Linked DNA regions of Astyanax mexicanus. The protein of the gene in region 1 interacts with the protein of each later gene in a pairwise test. Links are inferred from orthologs where the notes say so. Each region holds a gene or a part of one and is shown on either strand. Other genes may lie near its edges.

Region 1 (3,938 bases):
CACCAGGCTTGATCTGGAATTCACCATTGGACCACTCACCAAAAACCTGATTTTATGCAACAGAAACAGATTAACGCATTTCTGAACTTCCTGCACAACAAGATCCAACTATGCAACACAATGCCCGTCTTACGAAACCATAACCTTAACTAGGAAGTTTCAAATAATATGGATTTTATTAGTCAGCATCACAACACAACAGCAGTTCAACAATACAGTTTGCTGAAACAGAGTCGCATATTTTTCAATAGGCACTTGCCAACAGCATCGTCACATGATTCAGTGTCCACTATTGTTGTGTTTATATGAAAGTACAGCTGTGGACTGGGCCAAGGCACACTATTGTCTGGGAAACATTAAAGGGGAACTCCACCAACATTTCAAAATAGTTTTATATGTACAATACTGAGACGTAAGCAGCCACACATAGTGATTTGATTGGAATATGTCATTTAAATGGAAGTTTCATGCCATTAAATGCTTAAACTCTGAAAATTATTACATGAAACAGAGATATGTGAGATATGGTTTTGGCCTAAAACACATTGTTGAAAATTCTCCAACTGAAATGAATGGGCCAAAAATTAGATAAAAGTACTTTGGGTGCAATTTTTTTTTTTTTTTAATACATAGCATTTTTTAACATTAAGTCATATTGTGCTTTGTTGGCATGTCTGTTGGGATTCCGTATTCAGCCTTCAAACATTGTTCAGTTTTGGTTTGGGACAGCTTATTCTGTAAATCCCTAAACACTACATATAAAGTATAACTGAGAAGTGAAAAATGGACTATGGCACAGCTAGGACACAAGTTAACATCTAGTTAAAGAACACAAAGCTTTACAGCACATGAAATGCACATGAACTGGCTCTTGTTCTCTTTTTCTATCCGTTTTTCTCACTTCACCCTTACACCCTATGCTACCTGATAGCAAAAATATGTTAAATTAACGTTTAATTCCCATCTTTAATGCACTGAAACAACACTGATTTGATTTGACATCAATGAAAATTTTGGTTGTATTCTATTCAGATACATTACCAGTCAAAAGTAAATAACGGTTGTTTAAAGGTTGTTTGTTTTTTCATCATCAACCTTAAAAGATGTGCATCCAAATCAATGAAGGTTTATCCAGTGTATTATTATTACTATTGTTGTTATTATTATTATTATTATTATTATTATTATTCATAGTACCAGGTACAACATGAAAAATTGTATTACTTTGCTTTTATTATTTTTAATTTGATTATTATTAATATTTACATAAAAATAATAACACAAATATAATACACATTTTAAAAGTGTTATTTAATTATTTAAAATAGGTGTCTATGAATGTAAGTCCACTATATTTTACATTATGTGTAAATAATATTACAGGTGTAATAATAATAAAAATAATAATAGTTATTATTATTATTATTATTATTTATTGTATTCTTTGTTACTAGTTTGTATTGTGTTCATGCAGTGTAAAACATTTAATTATTACTATTTGAGGGGAACACCTTTCAACTACAAGCATAGTGTAGAGAAGTCACAACCTTTTAAAGCTATTTCACACTAACTAATGCCTATTGTTCTGTGTTAAATAAAGGTTGTTTATAGGTTGTTTTTCCATCATCAACCTTAAAAGATGTGATGCACCCTAAAGAAAAGTTTTATCCTCGTGTTGGATCACAGTCACAGAGACTTGAGCTTGAAGTTTACAGGTATCTAACCTTGTCAAGGCCTGAAAGAATCTGCTGCAATTCCTCCGGAGTGACCAGTCCAGCTTTCTGCAGAGCTTTCACATAAGCTTTACTCCCCCGAATGTCTGCATCCCACATGCGCTGATCGTAAGCGATGGACGCGTTGAATTTCTCCATTATTGGATCAGTGTTTCCAACGAACCTGCCGCCCCACAGCTTGTTTCCCTGCTCGGCAGGAACACATGACAGTTAGCTAGGAGGACTTACATTAAATTTAGGTTAGCTTTAAGCTAGCTTGTGGCTAACAGCTGCCTAAATATATCAAGATAAGTAAACAGATCAGCTCTGAAAAACAGAGATAAGTATTGTAATTCAGATTATAAGAGCTCTTACCTCTGATCCTGCCATGCTCCCTCCTCTCCAGTCCAGCTATCTCCTCTCTCTCTCTCTCTGTAGGAGCTACTGAGAGCTAGGTTAGTAAACTTGGCTAGACTGCTGCTGCTGTGTTTTGGCTGCCTATAAAGAAAAGCCTCATGAACTCAGTTAGCTATTGTGTTTACCTGGAACGTGTTCTGTGGTTTGGACACGCAGCAGGTGCTCTGCCCAAAGGAAGGCAAATAATCAGATTAATTAACAGTTACAGGATCATTAACGTGGAAATGCAGGTTCACAAACCAGTGTCAGTCAGTTGATGCAACAGCTGCCACAGCCTGCTGGTTTACAAATATCCAACATATCCCTCCCCTAAAAAACACTTCTCCCCATAATATATCCCTCCTCCTCTCAAACACACTCCTCCCCTCACAAACACTCCACCCCATATTATATCCCTCCTCCTCTCAAACACACTCCCATCTCTGACACTTGGAAAAAATTAAGTCATGATTATGAGATAGATAGAGTCTAAGGGGAATTATCTTTATAATTATGACTTACCATACCTACTGCATAACACAATATGTGTAAATAATATTACAAATACATTATTATTATTATTATTATTATTATTATAAGGAGTAGTAGTAGAAGTAGGAGTGGTAGTAGTGCTTGTGGTATTGTTGTTATTCGTAGTAGTAGTGGTAGTAGTAGTAGTAGATAAACAATAAACATTATTTTTAATTATTTTTATTAATATTTCTATATATTACACATTTTAAAAGTGTTAATAAAACACTTCATTAAAATATGTGTTTTAGAAAAGTAAGCCTACTGTATTACACATTATGTGTAAACTATATTACAACCCCTGGCAAAAAGTATGGAATCACCAGTCTTGGATGAGCACTCCTTCAGACATTTCATTCTGTAAAACAAACTCTGATCAAAAACATGATACAATAATAAGGTCATTCCAAAGTGCAACTTGTTGGCTTTCAGGAACACTCAAAGAAATGAAGAAAAAACATTGTGGAAGTCAGTGAATGTTACTTTTATTGACCAACCACAGGGAAAAAAATATGGAATCACTCAATTCTGAGGAAAAAAGTATGGAATCATGAAAAACAGATAAACAAAAGATGATTCAAAATACATCACTAGTATTTAGTTGCACCACCTTTGGCTTTTATAACGGCTTTCCGTCTCTGAGGCATGGACTTGATGACTGACAAACAGTATTCTGCATCAATTTGGTGCCAACTCTCTTTGATAGCAGTTGCCAGATCAGCTTTGCAGGTCGGAGCCTTCTTGTGGACCATTTTTTTCAATTTCCACCACAGGTTTTCAATTGGGTTGAGAGCTGGACTATTTGCAGGCCATGACATCGACTGAATGTGTCTTTCTCCAAGGAATGCCTTCACTGTTTTTGCCCTATGGCACGATGCATTGTCATCTTGGAAAATTATTTCATTATCTCCAAACATCTGTTCAATTGAAGGGATGAGAAAACTGTCCAAAATGTCAATGTAAACTTGTGCATTGATAGAAGAATTAACCACAGTCATCTCCCCAGTGCCTTTGCCTGACATGCAGCCCCATATCATCAAGGACTGTGGAAATTTGGTTGTTTTCTTCAGGCAGGCCTCTTCATAAATCTCACTGGAACGGCACCAAACAAAAGTTCCAGCATCATCACCTTGTCCAATGCAGATTCTTGACTCATCACTGAAGATAACTTTCATCCAGTCATCCACAGTCCATGATTGCCTCTCCTTAGCCCACTGCAGTCTTGTTCTTTTATGTTTAGGTGTGAATGATGGTTTTCTTTTAGCTTTCCTGTATTGAAATCCCATTTCCTTTAGGCGA
Region 2 (3,938 bases), on another chromosome or scaffold:
TCAATTTACACCATTATGTTAGGGCAGCTTGATCCACAGATGAAGAGCTTTCTTCCGAAAGGATATTTCCTTCACCCACTGAGATTCTCCTGGGATAGGAACGCAGTAAAAGGTTTGTCTCTCTGAAGTAACAGCGTTTTTGGAGTTGAAATCAATCTGCTGTAAAGATAAACATGTTCCCCTTAGAACCATTGATTAAGGTTAAAGAGAGTGACTGACTTTCTGCATGAGAATAGGTGTTAAATGTTTGCAGAAATATTACTAGGTATAACTGCTAAATTAAATACTATTTGAAGCATATACTACACAGAAACAATCACTTTAACAGTAGACTAAGTGACCATGCAACAATCCATTCATAAATATTGAGAGAAAGATAGATACTCACGCCACAATCAGTAACATCTTTGTATTTTCCACATCTCAGCACCTGACAAATGAATAAAAAGAAAAAGCCAGATTTAATAAACATAAATTAACAAGGACCATATGCTCAATTTTAAACTATAATTTATTAATCATCTATATTAGATAAAATAAATATTATGTATTTAAACATACAAACTATTAACTGAATAATATGGCAACATGATTCACTGCAGCTCAATTTGTCATTTCTAAATGTATTTCAACATGAACACAATAACAATTATGCTGCACTCACATCAGACAACACGCTACAAATGCAGCCATTTGCCTGTTCAGGTGTATGCATTAGACCATTATAACCACCGTCTTACCAGGCAAAATCCATACCTGCTGCTTTATTAAATAACAAAAAAGGTACATAAAGCACAATTATAGAATTATGAGGAAAAAGTGACTGCCCTTGTACGCAAACAAACAAAATTGACAAAAAAAAATTCAATGAACTTAAGTGCTCACTAAAAGAAAATAAAAAATAAACTAATAACAGGGTGTTGAAAGAAGGATGGATGAAAGAAATTACACTAAATCTACTAATGCTAAATAGTAAGGTGTTTCGGCCAAAAAAACGATAAACTGACAATATTTTTGCCCACCTTTGAATTTGTTGAAGGGTCAACTGTCTCATAAACCCCCATAAAAAACTCTGGATCAAACATGTCCTGGATCATACAGCGGAACTTCACCAGACTGTTGGGCTTCAGATAGTGCAGGGGAACGTCATTCAGAGAGGGAACCTAAACATCACAAACAGTGTTTGGTTGGAGTGTCACAACCAAACAAACGTGTTACATACAAAAATAACTTAAAACAAGGTTATTTATATAACAAACCAGCAATTCAATCAAGATTACAGTTACAGTAGCAGTCAAAATTTTGGACACACCTTCGTATTTAATGTTTTTCGTTTATTTATTTTATACATTGTAGATCAATATTAAACACGTAAAAAAAATGAATTATCATCATCATTAGTAATATCTTCAATATTATCCCCACTAATATTATTGTTGACATTATTCTGATTATTATAATAATCATCATGATTATCAGCAATATTTTTAATATTATCTGCATCACTATAATTAATTTATCATCATCACTATTATTATTAATATTAATCAGATTATCCTGTGTCATTATTATTATTATTATTATTATTATTATTATATTATACTCATTATTTTAATAATAATTATTTTTTATCCTTCTTATTATTATTACTGATAATAATACAGATAATAATAATAATAATGGTAATGACGATGATACCATCAAAATTATCCGTAATATCTTCAGTATTATCTCCATCAATATTATTGTTGATAATATTCTGATTATTATAATAATCACCATGATTATCAGTAATATCTTCATCATCACTATTATTATTAATATTATTCAGATTATACTATGTCATTATTATTGTTTTTTATATTATACTCATTATTACTCATTATTATAATAATAATAAAAAAAATAATAATTATTATTATTATTGTTATTATCATCCATAATATCATCATCATCATCATCATCATCAATATTATCACCATCACTTATTAATAATATTATTCTGATTATTTCTACAATTACTCTGATTATTAATTTTTATCCTTCTTCTTATTATTATTATTACTGATAATACAGATAATAATAATGGTAATGACGATGATAACTATCATCATTATCAGTAATTTCTTCAGTATTATCACTATACCCATTATTATTAATATTATTCTGATTACTATTACTATTACTCGAATTTTGTTATGATGATGATGATGATATTATTACTATTATTGTCATTATTATTCTGATTGTTATGCTAATTATTATTGTTATTAGTAGTAGCAGTAGTAGTATTGTTATTACTATTATTATTATTGATTATTATTATTATTATTCCACATAGTCCGTGTTTATAAACAAAGTGCGTGATTAAAAAGTTACCCAGGACTGTGCATCGTTTACTTTCAGTTTCTCTTTGAAATACTCCACAATCTTCCTCTCCCAGTCTGACCTGGAACTGTTCTGAGCTGAAAAACACAGAATAACGTTACAGAAACACAGCTTTATAATCACAGCAGCAGCTCCTGTTTCATATCTAAACGCCTCTGTTAGCTGACCTAAATTAGCCCCATGCTGCCAGTCTGTAACAGAATTTAACAACTTTAATTAAACAACGAGGTATATATGGAAAATAACAGACACTTAATAATTCACACACACGAGCTGCTGTGCTTCAAGTGACCAGACTAGCTATTTAAATAAAGAGAATTATTCAGCTAGCTTAGGTGAGCCAACCTATCCATATGTTAGCTAGCATGCTGCCCAGGCTAACCCCACGTTTCAGCAGTCAGCAGTGAGACAGAGCCAGAGCCCTGCTGCTGTTAAACTGCAGCTCTTTACCGAACAGCGCGTCCACCGCGCCCAGCGGGCTGTTTATCCAGTCCTGAACTGAAGGCATGGCTGAAGCTCTTCCAGAAACTGCAGTAAGTCTCCTCGTTCTTAAAGTTAAACTACTTCAAAAAAGCCGTTTTCTTTTTTTGCAAACTCGTTTCCTCCGCTCCACACACACACTTCTTGGTGGCGGGAAAATTGCGTCACGAACAGCCTCATGTGACCGTGAGCGCGAGCTGTGACTAGAGAACCTCCAGAGAGGAGAAGACCCACTTAAACATCTCTACTCCACCAGGGGGCGCTCCCGAGAGAGACCAACAAAGAATGGATTCACATGGAGCAGTTGGGCAAAATCATAATTGATAAATGTTTGTTTATTATAAAATTATAAATATAGCAAATTACAAACGTACACCTATTTTTAGTTGTCCTAAAGCAGTAGTGTATGGCCCAGACAATCATGAGACCACAATAAGAGATTTTGCTATTTATAGGTAGATGTTTGAGTAAAATTAACATTGTTGTTTTATTCTATAAACTACAGAAAACATTTCTCCCAAATTCCAAATTTCAGAAATCCATATTTGGTGGAATAACCCTGGTTTTTAATCACAGTTTTCATGCATCTTGGCATGTTCTCCTCCACCAGGTTTTCTAACTGCTTTTGGATAACTTTATGCCAATCCTGGTGCCATAATTCCAGCAGTTCAGCTTGTTTTGACGCCTTGTGATCATCCATCTTCCTCTTGATTATATTCCAGATGTTTTCAACATCAAAGCATCACATCATTCTTAAGTGGTCTCTTATTTTATTTCAGAGCTGTATCTTTGCACCTTATCCTCACTAGCCTATTTCATTGAACCGTATCAGTACTGAACTGTGTGTTGTAAAAATACTGCAGTAGAGTGTGCAGTAACACAATCTGTTCCAATACTGCTTTACTATAGACAAAGGTTTGTTTATTTTTGTATAAAGCTCAGTTTATTTCCATTGCTACTTACCAGCTGTAAGCTGTTAACCAATTGTTGTTTTTTTTTGTTTGTTTGTTTTTGCTAAAAATCACAATTTTACCATTTAACACATTGGATTTGGTACCATTTCCGGTTAT

Evidence for each region.
Region 2: the proteins of asl (region 1) and mini-chromosome maintenance complex-binding protein interact in binary tests that used the Homo sapiens proteins (3 or more experiments, as listed by UniProt). The two-hybrid records come from large-scale screens. The link is inferred for Astyanax mexicanus from reciprocal best matches to the Homo sapiens genes ASL and MCMBP.

The regions. Positions count from the first base shown.
Region 1 is NC_064424.1:10,202,312-10,206,249, forward strand, and holds the start of asl (argininosuccinate lyase), read right to left. Parts: upstream 2,438-3,938; 5' UTR 2,103-2,437; coding exon 2,088-2,102; intron 1,920-2,087; coding exon 1,725-1,919; intron 47-1,724; coding exon 1-46.
Region 2 is NC_064414.1:37,679,134-37,683,071, reverse strand, and holds the start of mini-chromosome maintenance complex-binding protein, read right to left. Parts: upstream 3,044-3,938; 5' UTR 2,897-3,043; coding exon 2,839-2,896; intron 2,466-2,838; coding exon 2,380-2,465; intron 1,164-2,379; coding exon 1,023-1,163; intron 431-1,022; coding exon 389-430; intron 160-388; coding exon 67-159; intron 1-66. UniProt on the Homo sapiens protein: Associated component of the MCM complex that acts as a regulator of DNA replication.